3 linked regions of the Caenorhabditis elegans genome follow. The protein of the gene in region 1 interacts with the protein of each later gene in a pairwise test. Each region holds a gene or a part of one and is shown on either strand. Other genes may lie near its edges.

Region 1 (5,256 bases):
GAAAAAAGTTAAATGTTCATTTACAGGAAAAAATCACGAAAAAGAAAAAGACCAAAAAAAGTACGAAAAAGGTGAAGGCAGAGGAGGAAGCTGAGCAGGAAGAAAAATTGACAAAGAAATCCAAGAAAACTCCAAAAAAGAAGGCTGCCGAAAAAACATCCCAATCTCTTCTCGAAGACTTTTTAGGTCCTGCCGATGATAACGTTGCCAGTGGCGGCTATGATCCACTTTAAGCAAATTGGCTACTGAAAACTTATATCAATCACTAACTCGGTCAGGCATTTTATCAAGTTTTGCCAAATCATTGCCAAGGTGCAGCTCGATAATATGTTTTTTGTTTTCCAATACGCAAGTTTCACAAAAAGCTTAAATCATTTTTATTTTATGGTTAGAGCTCTTGGAAAAGAAACAGAAAATGTAATTAAAGTTTATTATTATTTATTATGCCCTTACTTGAATGAAGAATGTAAAAAAATGTGTCGAGAATAAATTATTAAAATCAAATGACAAATGATATTCAGGAAATTAAAAATAACGGGGATCATTGAAGATGGCATCACAGAACATGAATTGGAGATATTGGCGAATTGAAATGACCGGAGTATAATTTGACTCAATTGGTATCCCAGTTTGGATACTTTCTCTGTTGTCCCTCGAAGACATCCAGAATATCCTCCAAATAACAGAGCCCATTCTGAGAGTAACAATGAGTAACGAACACAATTCATTTGAAACTCACTGGATTGTATTTTTTCTTGTTGGCCGTTTTGAAATGTTTCTTGAAATCGTATTGATGTTCAGAGAGAAGCTCCATTTCTGCGACGACATGTGGGGTTCGATTTGTTGCGTATAAAAAGACAGCTAACTTTGGGAAAACCATCTCAAAGATTTGATTTTCCTTTGCATCCCATGGAAGTGGTTTTCTTGCTGCCCCAAAGAAACCACTGAGCTCTCGAAGTCCAATATCTGCAAAAAAAGTATTGACGCTTTTATAAACTTGAACTCAATCTCACTTGAAATTTTGCGAACGAATTCGTGAAGTAAACTTTTCTTCTCAACATAGGTATGAATATGCTCTGCAACAGCTTTTCTGTCTTCCCAGGATCTGATGGCATTGGCTGCGTTCATAACTGACATCGAAGTTTCGCCGAAGATGTTTGTGTATAAGGTAGGTGATTTTGTTTGAGAGAACCGTTCATTAATCTTCCTATATTGGGTGAAGCTTTTTTTCTCCTTAATCTTTCCTGGTGAGCTGAGTGTTGATGGTCCAAGCCCATTGTGAACATTATAATTGAGGGTTTGCATTGCACCTTCAGGTTTCGGGAAAGTGTACATCAGTTGAGCAAGCTGATTATTTGGAACTGCTGAATTGAAATTCTACGTAAACCTCCATATTTTGTAGTTTTGTTGCTTAATTAGCTGACTTTTACATAAATATAGCTTCAAAGTTTTCATTGTTAACAAAAATAAAAATGGCACTAAACAACCAAATTTCATATTCAGCTAGATACGCTAACGTTGACAATTTGTTTGCTAGAAAATACTTAATTTATATTTTTTGAAAGTTAAAATTTTGATGTACAACTCAGCACGTAAAAATTGTAAACTCAAACCCACCATTGAGTAAAGACGATCCAAAGATTCGTGCAGCCAAAAGCAATATAGTTTTAGTTTGCTGGAACTGTAGATATTCTTGAAGAACAGCATGGATTTTCTGATACTCTTGTTGGATTGACGTTAGACCCACTTGGCGCTCGCCAAAATTCATGAGACCGAACAAGCGTGAAAAGTCATCAACGTTTGCTGAAATTATTGTTACATTATTTTATTGGTGTTAACAATTGACTTACTTAATTCATGCAGAAGAACAGTGGAACGTTGTTGCAAAGTCTCAACGGCTTTTGGTCGGTCGTGTAACCACTCCATTTTTTCCTGCATTGAGAATTGATTAATGTGATTGAGTATACAAGTGGATATGTGCTCCAAAGGTTGGATATTTCTGTGATACTCAATCGCTCCGTCTATTTCCTCATTTCGTGTTCTTATATTTTCGTCATAGTAGGCCGGGCTGCTTGTATGGTTTGGTTGAACTGATTGATCATGTTGTTGGGTAACAAATTGGTTTTGTTGATTCGTAACAATTCGCTGAGTTATTTGATAAAGATTCAGCCTGTTCAACGCTTGCTGCGCCTGGAGCAATTGCTCTTGATCACTTTGCAACATCAGTGCCGCAATGAATTGATTGAGAAATATATTCTGAGTATCTGAAAACATATGAATTTATATGTAAAACAATCAAAACGAAAAAGCAACAATGAGAAACGGAAAAAAACTCTAAACTGATATAATGTACAAAAGATTCAGCATGGGAGGAAAGAAAAGTGGAGATGGCTTGGAGAGTTGGCAGGTTGCCAGGGGAACCTTTTTTGGCAAGCCTGATGCGTACGTAGCCTCAAGCGTTTTTTCGCCTTGATAACGTCTAAAGGTAACTGATAGCGGACAGAATCCAATGTTTATCTCCATGTCGTCTCCACTCTCCGTGTGAACCACGCTCTTCTGCCTAGTTGGCAAAAATTTGTTTTTTTTTCTGTAATGTGCACTCTTTCTCGTGGCCTCCACAAATTTCCATGCGGTCGTTGGTTGCCACACAGCAGCTCTTCTCACTCTTCTTTGTTTCTTTTTACTTTCCTTCTTTCCTATGCTCTCTTCTCAGCGCCGGCAGACATTGAGAGGAGACCCGACCTGCTGCCAGGGAGGGAGGACGAACGGCAAGTGTGCGCACTAGAAAATGTAAACGCGCTCCACCGCATTGCATTTACAACTCGTCTCCGCGTTTCTCACACTGCATCGTCATTGTCTATTCGAAAACGTCTTCCAGTGTTCAAATTTGTTTTTCCAGTGGAACCCAACATTTACCAACACAACGATGGCTCTTGTTACTTGTAAGTTTATTTTATAATTTTGTGTAATTTATTTTTATAAAACATTTCAGCTTCGGGACAGCAACTGGTCAGCTCTGGATTTCCACAGCAAACTGCGCAGAGATTCTCCAATTTGATGGTAAATATTAAACATTTATCAAACAACAAACAGAAATCTATATTTTCAGGCACCAACAATGGTTTTGCTAGGTCATGAAGGAGAAATTTACACCGGTGCATTCAGCCCAGATGGAACATGCTTAGCGACTAGTGGATACGACCAGAAAGTGAGTTTTTTTCAAATCCTTGTGGTCTCAAGAATTTATATTCAAATATTAAATTCTATGATTTAATTATTAATTGGTCTTTGCAAATAAGAACAATTGAACGTAGAACTTTGTATAGTCTTGAAAAAACCGAATATAAAACTACCTTCATACTAAACAACCCTTTTAAGCAATGATTTGCAGATCTTCTTCTGGAATGTATACGGCGAATGCGAGAACTTTTCTACAATCAAAGGACACTCAGGAGCAGTTATGGATTTAAAATTCACCACCGACAGCAGCAGTTTGGTCTCTTGTGGAACAGACAAAAGTGTTCGTGTCTGGGATATGGAAACCGGGACTTGCGCTCGTCGCTTCAGAACTCACACAGACTTTGTGAACGCCGTCCATCCGTCTCGTCGTGGTGTAACTCTTGTCGCTTCTGCCAGTGACGATGGAACATGTCGTGTGCATGATATGAGAACCAAGGAACCAGTGAAGACTTACACCAACCGATACCAGCAGACAGCAGTTACATTCAATGATTCTTCGGATCAAGTGATTAGTGGTGGAATTGACAACGTGCTCAAAGTTTGGGACATGCGTCGTGACGAGATTACTTACACTCTGACTGGACATCGTGACACAATTACTGGAATCTCTTTGTCACCAAGTGGGAAATTCATCATTTCCAATTCAATGGATTGCACTGTTCGACAATGGGATATTCGACCATTCGTACCAGGACAACGTTCGGTGGGAGTTTTTGCTGGTCATAATCACAATTTCGAGAAGAACCTTCTCAAATGTTCTTGGTCGCCATGTGAGAGATTCATCACTGCTGGCTCGTCGGATCGTTTTCTCTACGTCTGGGAAACACTGTCGAAAAAAATTGTGTACAAGCTTCCAGGTCACATGGGAAGTGTCAACTGTACCGATTTCCACCCAAAGGAACCTATCAGTGAGTTAAAAATAAATTACAAAAATTTAAAATTTCCATTGTTTGACCATTCAATAATTTCAATTTTTCAGTGCTCTCGTGTGGAAGTGACAAACGTGTTTTCTTGGGAGAAATCGATATGAGCTAGAAATTCAAAACATCCATATTCGCCGGTTAAATTTGTTTTTTGTCATTTTTCTGTTTTGTTTTTTTCACTGGATCTCCTTTTTTGATGTAATTTTTGAACTTACTTTATGTCCGACTCTCTTTATTTATTTTTCAGTGATCATGTTTTATCAAATGAATTCTTGCAATTCAAAATTGAAGTACGCCAGAAAAATTGTTTTAATGGAAATACGAAAGAAGATGAAGGCGGTAACAGCGAAAGATGAAGGTCAATATTTAATCAATTTACCGCAATTGCTCTAGAGTAAACAATTGGATGGATAATTATCAATGCGTGAAGAAGTATCAATTCGCATTCCGAGTTACTGGCAATTGTTTAATTCTCAAGTTCTCCTTTTTTCTTTCTTTTTTGTCAAATGGCAAAACAAGTTTAAGCATATTTTCCTTTTTTTAAGTGTTATAGTTGAGTCGTATCAAAATGATCGTTCCCTGAGTACTGTCATACTGAGTCGAGGGGCCGTATGCAAGCTTTTCAGTCTTTTACAATTTAAAAAAAGCATAGAATATGATTGAAACAAAAATCTAAGAAACCGCGCTCCATGCTTGCAAACGGTGTCGAGATAAAATTAGCAGTATCCACGGAGCAGTTATTTTGGCGCGACCGTGTATGATTTCAATCGAGTTTAATACTTGGATTATTAATACAGACCAAACTAAACTATTCCATGATGGGATGTCTGTGCACAGTTTTTTATTGAGCAAACAAGTACTTGTACGGTTGATTGCAGCTGCATGATTTCCCGATTCTCGCAGTGGACATGAATGACGTACTTAAAAACACCAACCGTATTTAAAATATTTGCTCATTCTTTTTTTTCAAAAAAAAAAAAAAAAATTACACCAGATATTAAACCAAATTGTCGATTCCTTGCCTTTTTAATTTTTAGGTATTTGCTCGTGCATGAACACATTACTTCTTCCCATCGTCATTATTAGGTGTTAT
Region 2 (4,534 bases), on another chromosome or scaffold:
CGTTGCTTCTCGTCCATTGCTGAATGAGATGATCCAACTGACGTTCTGTCACTCTTAACCCGTTCTTTTATACCCATACATAGAGTGTAAAACGTTTTGATATTGTAATAGGACAGAAGAAAAAAAAATGGAAAAAATCGTAGAAGAATGGCACTTCTTACAATATGGGTCATCGCAAACAATTTTGTGTGATACTTGACAAAAGAAGGAAGTCAAAAGTCAATGACTATGAGAAGAAGTCTCAATGAAATTAGAGGAGGAACATCCTAATTGATATATTGGAACGGTAATGCATTTTGGGAGTTCATTTTTAAAAAGTGGAGTAGCGTCAGTGGGGAAATTAATAAAAAATCATTTCTATGGTGCCGAAAAGGCCAAGTATCATAGTAAAACTTCAAAAAAAGTATAGTTCTGTCGCATATTTGATGCAAATTGAGATTTTTTTAATTTTCAAAACAATCATATTAAATCTAGATTTTTTATTGAATTTTATTACTATGTATCATATTTGGTTTTTTTTGAACTAGTGGAATTTCCCCGTATACGGTACTCCTTCTTCAAGCCTTGAATTGATTGATTTGGAAGTAATAGGCTACCGTATTTCCTCTATTGTAGCTTAAATGGAGCCTTCTCAAAACCTCTTAGTGGCATGTTGATAGGCAGGCAAAAGTTTGTTAAATTTTCTTTTAAGATAGAATAAGCTTGACATTTTATGGATCAGATGGTTTCAAATCGAGTTTTTTGTCATAAAATTATCTTCTACATAGAGCTCTTAAAAGTTAGTCTTTCGTGCGAAACTAATCAATGAAATACGGTAATAGATTTGGACTAATATTTATTAGTTGAATCTACGATATTGTTTCTTTACTATGTTTCATCAATTTGCTTGTCATTGGCATCAGTACTTTCCGTCTAAAACCAGATTACATTTGAAGCTTATTCATTAATAACTTTAAGAATTCCTTTACACCAATAAATTGAGAGAGAACGCGATTTTTAGCTGTGATATAGTATTTTGATTGGTTTTTGTAGTTTCCCGATTTATACAATAAAATCATGGTAAATTTTTGCCAGATGAGGTTTCAAAGCAATTACAAAACAATTTCAGAGATTCAGGGTGTCACTACCTTGTGACACATACAACCAGCATTAATCCCGATAGAATATAAGTCGTTTATTGGGATTATAAGTTGTGTTCTTACAATTTTTACTTTGATATAATTAAATAACTGACGTATTGCTTCGTGTTGTATTAATTATGCTTAAATAGATTTCCAGTTTCAAAAACCACAAGTAATAAGACCTGTCAAATAAATTCTTTAAAGAAATTGAAAAATTGAAATGAAATGTTTTTATTCGATTAAAAATGACTAGACGGTAAAGAACTAAATCTTCCTGAGTGTTTACTTTCTGCGGGTTCCGTCCTCGAAGAATACTCCTCCGTCGATGGCGCAGTACTTTGGACAGATTCCCTTCTCTCCGGCACCTCCAGATTGTCCTGGCTGTCCTGGGGCTCCTGGGTTTCCGTCGGCTCCTGGCTGTCCTGGGGCTCCTGATGGTCCCTTTGGTCCTGGGGCTCCGGCTTGTCCTGGTCCTCCTGGGGCTCCTGGGGATCCAGCTGGTCCTGGTGGTCCTTGTGGTCCGGCTTGTCCTGGGGCTCCTGGAGAAGACTCGGATTGAGCGTCGGATCCTGGTTGTCCTGGGGCTCCAGCTTGTCCTGGGTTTCCTGGGGCTCCTGGGGCTCCCTTTGGTCCGGCTGGTCCTGGGGCTCCGGCTCCTGATCCTTGCCCGGCTTGTCCTGGTGCTCCGGCATCTCCTTGTGGTCCTGGGGCTCCTGGGGCTCCAGCTGGTCCTTGTGGGCATGGCTTGCATGGTGGTGGGGTGATTGGCTCACATGGTTGTGCTGGTGGGCGTCCTGGGTTTCCTGGAAGTCCAGCTGCTCCTGGACGTCCTGGTCTTCCTGGCTTTCCTGGGGTTCCGGCTGGTCCAGCGGCTCCTGGAAGGCAGCATCCAGAGCATGATCCTCCTTGGGATCCGGTGTTTCCGGTCTCAACAGCCTCATCGGTTCCGTATCCAGCTTGACGGGCGAAACGGGAAGCGTTCTTTGGAGATCCACGGATGTGGTTCACCTCAGCGAAAATGTCACGAGCAGAGTGCTTGCAGAACTTGATCTCATGGTTGATCTGGGTCTTGATTCCATCAACATAGTTGTACACCAATGGAAGGGTGATGCACAGCTAAAATATTCCATATTCAATTAACTAAAATGTAGAGTGCAAAGAATTCAAACTTACCGAGAAAACGGCGACAACCGAGAAGGTAACAGCCGAGTAGGCGACAAAGCGGTAAGCCTGAAGACGTTGTTGCTCCTCCATTGCAATAAAGATGGGCAAGTGCGCGTTTTACCCGTCCCCACAACCCCATTATATAGTGTTCAGTTCCGTTAAACTGTATTGTATTAAATTTACACTCAAACTGTAATGGGTGGAGAGTGTAGATTAGGTTTGCAGAGTGTTCAGAAATCGTTTGTTCCTTCTTTTTCAATTTTTTTTTCTCAAATAGTCATTTTAGTTGCGCCATTGGCATTGAAGATGCCGGGGAAAATTGGAGAATTAAAGAAAAGGAAGTGATAAGGAAGTAGCTGCCAGCCAGCGACAAGTGACCATGAACTGTTGTGATGGTTGTGTTCTGAAGGTTATAGAAGTAGATTAGGTTTCAAATTAGTCTGGTCAAGTGCTTCAGTCTCATTTGATGTCAATCTTATAGAGTCGACTAGGGCAAGAAAAAACAATCGGAGTTTCTCGAGATGTTCTGAATTTTATGGGATTGAAAACACATTTGTTGAGTTCACATATCTCCAACTTTTCAAAAGAAAAAAGTATAAAACTGTGATTATTTTCTTGCCAAGCTTTGCTTCATGAAAATACCTAACATAAGTTTAAAGTTGTGATTTATTAAGCAATTCTAGTCTATTCAAAATACAGACCCACCGGATGTCAGTTGCTGTAACTTTCAACTGAATAGAATTACATAATTTGGACAGTATTAGAACTAGAAAAAGTATTCGGCAACATTTTGATAGTCAAGAGTATTTTGCTAACTATCACAGTTTTTGGGTTATGCATGTTTAAACATTTCCCCATTTACGATAATAATTGTTTTATTCAAATCAAGGCCTTTTCTTGGATCAAATGGAATATCCAAGGATTTTTCATGCAACTTGCTTATCAACTAAATACAACGACACCAGTTTATTCATACTTCACAAGAAAATAATTAGTAAGAGAATTAACCCTACACTAATTTTCAACACAACTTGGGCCATTCCTTTTTTGTATAATAAAAGACTCTTTACAATAATTTCTTTAGCTTCATCAATTAACCATTCTAAAAAATTCAAGCGCCTACCGCACAAGGCGCTTCCTTTCAATTTGTCCGTCTTTATGTGGCTACTTAACTATTTTGCAAACCAAACACCCGCAACGGCAGCTACTTTCACTTTCCGTATCTCTTAGTTTCGCCTCTTTGTCTATGAAAAACCGACGTAACCGAAGGAGATTCATGTGTACTGTGAGAAGAAATAAAAGAGAAAAAGAAGAAATTACGCAAGATTGAAATGAAATCTGTTTATTTGATCGGAAGAAATAAATCTGACATTTACTTTCTGCGGGTTCCGTCCTCGAAGAAGACTCCTCCGTCGATGGCGCAGTACTTTGGACAGATTCCCTTCTCTCCGGCACCTCCAGATTGTCCTGGCTGTCCTGGGGCTCCTGGGTTTCCGTCGGCTCCTGGCTGTCCTGGGGCTCCTGATGGTCCCTTTGGTCCTGGGGCTCCGGCTTGTCCTGGTCCTCCTGGTGCTCCTGGGGATCCAGCTGGTCCTGGTGGTCCTTGTGGTCCGGCTTGTCCTGGGGCTCCTGGAGAAGACTCGGATTGAGCGTCGGATCCTGGTTGTCCTGGGGCTCCGGCTTGTCCTGGGTTTCCTGGGGCTCCTGGGGCTCCCTTTGGTCCAGCTGGTCCTGGGGCTCCGGCTCCTGATCCTTGTCCGGCTTGTCCTGGTGCTCCGGCATCTCCTTGTGGTCCTGGGGCTCCTGGGGCTCCAGCTGGTCCTTGTGGGCATGGCTTGCATGGTGGTGGGGTGATTGGCTCACATGGCTGTGCTGGTGGGCGTCCTGGGTTTCCTGGAAGTCCAGCTGCTCCTGGACGTCCTGGTCTTCCTGGCTTTCCTGGGGTTCCGGCTGGTCCAGCGGCTCCTGGAAGGCAGCATCCAGAGCATGATCCTCCTTGGGATCCGGTGTTTCCGGTCTCAACAGCCTCATCGGTTCCATATCCAGCTTGACGGGCGAAACGGGAAGCGTTCTTTGGAGATCCACGGATGTGGTTCACCTCAGCGAAAATGTCACGAGCAGAGTGCTTGCAGAACTTGATCTCATGGTTGATCTGGGTCTTGATTCCATCAACATAGTTGTACACCAATGGAAGGGTGATGCACAGCTGTAAAGATATTTTGATTAGAACCTGGCTGAAAAACTTGAAA
Region 3 (7,574 bases), on another chromosome or scaffold:
TCTTCCCCTACCAACTCCAAAATCCGATGCTCCAACCACCACAAAACTCTTTGGAAAATGCGGTTAGTACATTGACTTTTACAATTGAGCCATTACTGAAATGGAATTATTTTTCAGATTGTGCACTCACTGGGTACTCTGGCTGCTCAGTCATCCATGTTTGGGCAGTTGTGTGAGAAGATGCTAAAAGCCCAAGAAGAAGCTCGCGCCGATCAACGATCCATTCGCGAAGAGCATCGAGCTGAAAGAGAGAAGGCCGACGAGCGGAGCCAGCAAAATATGGATAAGATGATGGCACTTGTCCATTCTCTCGTGGAACGTGTCGATAGGAGCCACGCTTCGTCATATGATGTGGTTGGTCAAAAGAATCCATCGTCCAGCTCCCTCAAACCAGCGAAAAGAGTCAAGTCTGCCGTTGTTCGTCAATCCAATTTAGCCAAGCGGACCGGAGCACCTGTTGATGCTGCAAAGGAGTTGAAAAAGATTCGAGATGAGGAAAACAGAAACCATGGACGATCTGCTGAAAGGTAATTCTAGTTGTGTTTTTTTTTTCAATTTAAATGAGAGTTTCAGAGATAATGTGTTCATCGGTGCAGTGCTGGTGGGGAAAGGATCTCAGTACGATAAGGTAAGCCTGAAAATTATAAAAAATTAGTTGAAGTTGTTTTTCAGGATCTTGAAAAATTCAAGAGCTTCCGATGCAGGACCTGCAATGAAGTTTCCCAGACGAAGGAGCAGCTCGTGGATCACTTTTCAAACAACCACGCCGGCGAACTTGGGGCGAGAAGGTCACTGCGAATAAAGCAGACCTCGTGTTAAATTTCTTTTTTAATTTATATTCGTTTTTGTTTTAAAATTTAAGCTTTTTTGATACAAATAAATTTTATAGTAAATAAATCTTGTTTCTCCTACCAGCTATCTAACTATTCCCAACAGTGGGTGGCAATAAATACGAGACGCGGCTCTTCTCACGGCGGTATCATAGATGCACAAAGAGCAAAACGATTACGCAACAGACAGCCGGGTCATATTCAGGTCAAACTTGATAGTGCATGAAATCGAGTAGTAAGCGACTCTTTGATATTTTCAGATGCTCCATTTGTTGTTCTTCATGACAGCTGCAGAGTTCCCAGATCGTAAATGTTTAATGTTCTGAAAGAAGGTACATAATCAGTCAAAGGGCGGTCTCATTGTTGCCTTTTATATCAAATCTTTGGAGGACAAATTGTCGATTTCAGCAACATTTTTTGTTAAGAATCTCCAACTTTTAGAATAACTATTTAATAGATCACTCGTTTCTGATAAGAGAAATAATTCTCTGCTACCGTAATCTTTGCTCCACATGAACCTGTCAGTCATAAATGCTCATTCGTATCGTACTCAATTAAACTTTCATCGCTCATTTATTTCCTAATGAACATCGTAATGGAACCTCAATTCCAGATGGGCTCAATGGCCGGTAGACTTACTATTATTTGGGCGAGTAGATCAAATATGAGGTGAGTGATCTATTTTTCAAATTATTTTAAAGGCGGGATCTCATTGAAATTAAATTTAGTGGCTAAAATTCTTCTTTTCTTAATTTTTGGCTAGATGATTTTTTCTAATCTTTTTCAAAATTTTATAATTTTTAAAATATTTATTTAAATAAAAAGATATTTAACAGCAAGTTAACTATTGAACAATAAATTAAATAAAAATCTTCGTAAATCGACAAGTGGAAAGTGCGCTCTATTGAGCTGATCAGTCAGTAAAAATTTTTCAGTGTTAATTTTTTTCTGTTCTTCATTTCTGTTGAGTTTTAACGTTTCTTTTATATTTGTCTTGCTAATTTCAATGCTAAAAATCAATTCTAAAAACGCATATTTTATTAAAGTAAGAAAATCCATCTTCGAATACAGTCTCGGACAGTTTCCTGCACAGACCAATAATTTATTTCCCAACGAACTGGGCGTTTTTGTTTCCTTGCCGACCTGTCTCATTGTAAAAGTGATATGTTTGTCTGAAAATCGACGTGTGGCTATAAATCATTCACAATTCCCTCTCCCGTTCATATCTGATAAATCCCGCCTTCCCAAGTGCTCAATGAGCCGCAGGAGGCGGTGCCGGGTTGCCAGCTCGTTATTTTATTGCTATTCTCATCAAATCTCGAAAATCTTCCTTCAAATTTTGAATTTTTATTACTGTTCACTTTTCTCTATATAAACTGATAATTACTTCCTCGTTTTCAGAATGTCGGTCGATGTCAAGTCGGATTTTTCGGAAAACGAGTCCTCATCAACACCTTCACCAACAACAGTTCCAGCAGATGTCACGTGGCCTCACTATCCAATGATGCCATTCATGCAACCACATCCTCTGAGGCTAGATCTTCGAAATTTTTATTTGGAATCTCAAAATCAACGAAAAATTAAATATTTCCTGTTGGTGTTTCATTACGACCAAGTGAACAAAATTAAATACCATAAATATTTAATAATCCAGCACACACACATGGTTGTAAATCCATGCCCTTTCTCTTATTTATCTCCTTCAAAATATTTGCTAACCATGTATTTATTCTCAAATATTGTCGCCTTTTTGATGATAGAATTTGTTTGAAAGGTTATATGCAAATTTTCGATCTATCCGGAGGGTACGGTAACGCCCCGCCTCCACAGTGTATTGGAAGACATTGCTCCGCCCATTTCCACCGTTGGAATGAAGCGGGAGGGTGTCTAAGAGGTAATAGGCGTGTGTGTGTGTATCAATTGACAAGAACATTTGATTAAGGAGGTGCTATATTTTGAAGTTTTTCTTGTTTTTTTTTTTCATTTTATACTTAATTTTCTTTTTTCAGAGAAAAGATGCTGCAACCAACATTTGATCCACAAATCTATGGAAGGTGGTCACAAATGGGTGATACTGGTTTTTACGTACGTTTTGAATGAATTTCCTTAAGGTTTTTTATTTAAAAATTGAATTTCCAGGGACATCCGGATCTCTATCCATTCGGCCTTCCACAACTCGCTGCCAACGGACAAATTCCAGCAGTAGAAGCCGTTGATGTGAAGCCACCGCTTTCGAATGGAAGTAGCAGTAGTGATAGTGGAATGTATCCATCACCGAGTGATATGATGACACCGTTCCCATCAACATCATCTGGAGCTGCATCTTCTTCAGAGCTTTCAGCAGCTGCTGCTGCTGCAGCCAACTACCAGATGAGAGCTGCCACGTGTTATCAGCAATCTGTTTGGCCGTTTATGGATTATCAACAGGTAATCATATAAAATTGTATTTTAATACCTTTGTTGGCTTTTATAACACCAAAAAACATAATTTCCTAGCGAGACTTTTCAAAAACTGTTCACATTTTTTATGACTCTAAATTGTTGGTACAGTTTTTATTGAATTTTATTTTTTATTGCATATTTTAGGTACGGCTACTCGCGTTTATTCATTGATTTAAGCAGTCTACTTCCAAAAATTACAAAAATTCAGTGCCTATCGGCTTAGAACGCGCCTAAATCAACGAATTAACACGAGATAAATTACCAAAATATGCAATGAAAAATGAAAACTTACTAAAAACTGTATTTCAGCTACTAGACAAGGATAAGTTGATAAAATTTTAGATTTCAGCATTTTTGGCTCTTTTCGATATTTTAAGCTGCCATAAAATTAGGAAATTCTGTCGTTTGTGGTAACTTGTCTAATAAATATCTCTAATAATGTCTAATAAGTCTAATAAAGCAGCCAATTTTTGATCTGTTAGTTCTCCTCCAAGTGAGCTTGTTTTAAAGATAATTTAAGTTTCAGGGATTCTCGTGGAAAATGCCTCTTGGAAACAATCATGGAAAGGATCGAAGATCAAGCAGTGATGGGAAAACATTACCAACGGGACCTGGAACGAATAGTAAGTTTTCAAAAGAGTCTCCCCGTGTGCAAACAATCTCTCTTCAAGTGAAAAAGAAGCCGCTATCAGTCATATTTATCAGTAACTAGGACAAATGAATTGAGTATTTATGATTCCTTTCCCATCAATTTCCCATTTTATTACGAGGGAGTTTGTAATTAAACTTATTTTCAGATGTCCGTGTACGAACAGCTGACAAATACCGTATGGTTTACTCGGATTATCAACGCCTTGAACTGGAAAAAGAATTCCATACATCGCCATTCATAACATCAGATCGCAAGTCCCAATTGTCGACGATGTTAAGCTTGACAGAACGACAAATCAAGATTTGGTTTCAAAATAGGTAGATTCTTTTTTAAACTCACTGCCTAAAATGGGATGATTGATTACTACAAATTTGAAGACACCAAAATAATATCAAGTTTTCTTGATTTGGCACAGAGATGAAAGGCGGTAAAGGTGATGCGGTGTATGAGTTACGGTGCTTACGCAATTCGACCCGTGTGGCAGGTAGCAGGAGAGTCTTTAGCCGTGAAAGAGTGTTAGAGTGACCTCAATTTATATGATGAGAGGTGGCAAATTGGGATTGTTATGGTGTGAGATGTCATATTAATAGATCTGAAAGTTTAATTTGGTTTATTGGAATCATGAGATTAGACTTCAAATATTGACACATATTTCACAACGTCATTTAATTAACAGATGATGTTGCCCTCTGCAAATCTCATTTGAATTCATTCATTCCGCGCCCTTTCGAGCCAAATACGTTGTTTGCTGTTTGCTGTTTGCTTACTCTTTCTCAGGCTTTTCCAGGGGACTCATCACAATGACTGTCACCTCCTACTGTAACCATAGGAAAAAGTACCACCACACTTTCGTTCTTTAAGATTCAGTTCAGTCCACGCGCGCAGTAGAGATAGTTCCAAGGAATTAAAGAGTCGTAAAGTTGTGTAATTGGAGGCCACAGTGTTTGAGACGTGCTGGTGGAGGTGAGGAAGAGATGAAGTTTGTTAATTGGTCCGTTTACGACTTTCTAATTGGTATTACTGTAGAAGAGAGGTGGTCACTGCTTGCATGTGTGGCTATCTACGCGTTCGGGGATTTGGAAATTAACAAGGGAATAGGATATCTAGTGCGAATTTCCAAGTTATTGGGATAAAACACTTCCCGTAAAGTGCTACTGTTAATCTCCTTCACTCGCATGTTAAAGGGAGAGTATCGTTTGTAGGTTTGCAAAAAAATATACTCAAAATGCCCCAAATTTCAAGTTTTTGCCTTTATTTAATTAGGTGAGGTTCTAGCTCAATGAAAGAGTCTACAGAAATGATAAAGCAAGGGTTTCTGACCAGCTCGCAGAGATATACCAATTATCTGCTCAACAGTCGTTTTTTTTGTTGTCTGTTGCCTTGTTTGACAATATTAGTGCGCATCGAAAGATTTACGAGGGGAATAGAAACGTCGTCGGCAGAGATTCCCAGAGTGCTGTAAAATGGAAATCAATGTGTGTGTCCCTTTCCTGTAGCGTCCCAATCCAAACAGACATACATACTGTGTTGGACAGACGTGACCGCCGTTTTCCTGGGAAGAGGTAACATACGGACGAACCATACCGGTCATTGTATTCATTAAAAGAAAGGGAATATAAACCAAAAGATTGATGTTCCCTATCCCTTTTCTTTGAAAAGCGTATTTTTTTTGAATTCACCACTGGGACGGCATCTTTTTGATCTCAATATATTCTGATAAATTGTTAATTTCCGTAATAATACTGTAATATTTTTAATTGCAGGCGTGCAAAGGATCGTCGTGACAAACAGAAGATTCGGCTATAAGTACTCATCTACTTACAAAGAAAATGTACAAAAATTCTGGGAATTTTCATATTTTTCTAGAATATTGTACACATTTATTATATTTTTACATTTCTCTCGCTTGAATACGGTTAAATTCACACTTTTATATAATTTCTTCCTGTCCCATCTCCCATTCTCTCACATCAGAATATTCTAATCATCACTGCCCTTAACATATATATATATATATTTATAACTTTCCGATCATTCCTTCTGCTTTGTAAACTAATCCAATCATTCTCTAATGAATTATTCCCTAATATAGAGCTTCTTTATTTATTGTGATTTCTTGTTTCTTACCCTTCTCAAGGTTTAGGAAAAAGTTTAGGTCCCCATTTGTTATGTATTTACTTCCCACTCTGAACGGATCCATTTTGAACATGTTTTCTATTTTTTGGAAAAGTTTAGAGAATTCTTTGCTTTTCTCACATATCTTGATTGCATATTTTTTATAACAAAACAATGAAACAATTTTGAAGAATTTACAGCAGAAATTGATGAGATTAACTATCCAGTTTTTTGAAATGTATTAAATCGACGGCAATATCCACGGCCTTTTGTTTATGGAATTTGTAAGTCGCTGGTAGTTGCCACCGCATTTCTGCACAACATTCTGCCTGAAACTCAATATTTTTTTTTCTAATTTTAGAATAATTTAAAAACAAACCCCAACTCCGTCCCATTTCTTTGCATTTTTTAGAATATAATCTCTAGTTGATGATTTATGAAGTGAAAATACACTTCCACCAGGCCGAACCATTTGAAGACCGATTTGGACAAATTGCATATCGATTCCTGAGAAATTTAAGATATTGTAACGTTTTAGGAGATCGTTGGATATTTACCTGCATTATTTTTTGTTCCAAATGGAGGATTAATGACAGCCACGTCGAATGTGCCACGTGGAAGATCGGATTCCGGGTCGAGAATGTCGGCTTGTAGAAGCTCGCATCTGGAAGAATTGAAAGTTTTTAATTTTTTATTATTACCCAAATACGATTTTTAGCCGAAAATACGGTACCCGGTCTCGAAGCGCCCGATTTTCTTAAATTCAGAAAGATGTGCGCTTTTAAAGAGTACTGTAGTTTCTAACTCCACATTTTGAGCCGCTTCGAGACCGGGTATTTTTGTAGGTTAAATTTCAAATTGAAAAATGTTAGTTGAATTTAGAATGTAAACATATATTTTACTTTTTTTTTAGTTCTCACCTATCCTGTACTTCAGCTGTTTCCAAATTTCTAGAACAAATTTTAAGTGCTTCATCATCTATATCAACTCCTAAAACAGTCTCCAACTCATACATTGTGGCAGCTGTCGTCATTAACATTCCACATCCACATCCGATATCAATTAATTTCTTTCCTTCAAAACCAATTGTTTCATCGATCATTTCCATCATCGAGACTGTAATTATTTTGATTTTCTTATTTTGATTTTAGTTGGTAAAAGCTTATTTCAAAAATGTTTTTTACAGTGTATACTGTAAGAAGCTCCAAAAAATAAAATTTTGAAGCGCGGCTTCGATAGTTTTTTTATAATATTTTTTCTAAATTTGAAAGCTGAAAACATAAGAAAGCGCCATGATATAGGCGGAACAAATTTTTTGATTTTCTTTTCTTTAAACAATAATTATGTTCGGCTTGAACAAGATTTTCTATATTTAAAGAAGAATGTTTGATTTTTTATTTTAAATTACAGAAAATGGATAATAGTAACAAACCGAATATAACTGTGAAAAATTACTTAATTTTTCAATTTGTGATTTTGCAAAAAAAGATTTGAAAGTTTTTTTCGATTGAAGAAGTCATATTATGAAGGATTTT

What was found. The genes of interacting proteins can lie anywhere in the genome.
Region 2: the proteins of snrp-40.1 (region 1) and col-93 interact in a two-hybrid assay, tested with the Caenorhabditis elegans proteins (one large-scale study listed by BioGRID).
Region 3: the proteins of snrp-40.1 (region 1) and pal-1 interact in a two-hybrid assay, tested with the Caenorhabditis elegans proteins (one large-scale study listed by BioGRID).

Annotation. Positions count from the first base shown.
Region 1 is NC_003284.9:11,297,271-11,302,526, reverse strand, and holds snrp-40.1 (U5 small nuclear ribonucleoprotein 40 kDa protein), read left to right. Parts: upstream 1-2,742; 5' UTR 2,743-2,926; coding exon 2,927-2,942; intron 2,943-2,992; coding exon 2,993-3,060; intron 3,061-3,109; coding exon 3,110-3,208; intron 3,209-3,391; coding exon 3,392-4,148; intron 4,149-4,219; coding exon 4,220-4,275; 3' UTR 4,276-4,491; downstream 4,492-5,256. Other genes in the region: F08G12.1 (Rab-like protein 6), read left to right, coding at 27-233; F08G12.3 (RasGEF domain protein), read right to left, coding at 614-694, 740-966, 1,014-1,364, 1,618-1,803, 1,851-2,223.
Region 2 is NC_003281.10:10,983,210-10,987,743, forward strand, and holds col-93 (Nematode cuticle collagen N-terminal domain-containing protein), read right to left. Parts: upstream 2,401-4,534; 5' UTR 2,376-2,400; coding exon 2,295-2,375; intron 2,238-2,294; coding exon 1,404-2,237; 3' UTR 1,343-1,403; downstream 1-1,342. Other genes in the region: col-92 (Nematode cuticle collagen N-terminal domain-containing protein), read right to left, coding at 1-17; col-94 (Nematode cuticle collagen N-terminal domain-containing protein), read right to left, coding at 3,658-4,491.
Region 3 is NC_003281.10:4,803,367-4,810,940, reverse strand, and holds pal-1 (Homeobox protein pal-1), read left to right. Parts: upstream 1-2,231; 5' UTR 2,232-2,232; coding exon 2,233-2,363; intron 2,364-2,839; coding exon 2,840-2,915; intron 2,916-2,969; coding exon 2,970-3,257; intron 3,258-3,581; exon of another isoform or gene 3,582-3,730; intron 3,731-3,792; coding exon 3,793-3,895; intron 3,896-4,069; coding exon 4,070-4,241; intron 4,242-5,687; coding exon 5,688-5,730; 3' UTR 5,731-6,232; downstream 6,233-7,574. Other genes in the region: C38D4.7 (C2H2-type domain-containing protein), read left to right, coding at 1-62, 118-527, 574-628, 673-819; rRNA N(6)-adenosine-methyltransferase metl-5, read right to left, coding at 6,255-6,368, 6,419-6,546, 6,597-6,703, 6,960-7,155. UniProt on the Caenorhabditis elegans protein: Transcriptional activator. Interacts with promoter regions for tbx-8.9, tbx-9, elt-1, hnd-1, scrt-1, and vab-7 genes. Binds the sequence ATTTATGAC. Binds to the enhancer region of the hlh-1 gene promoter during embryonic body wall muscle development.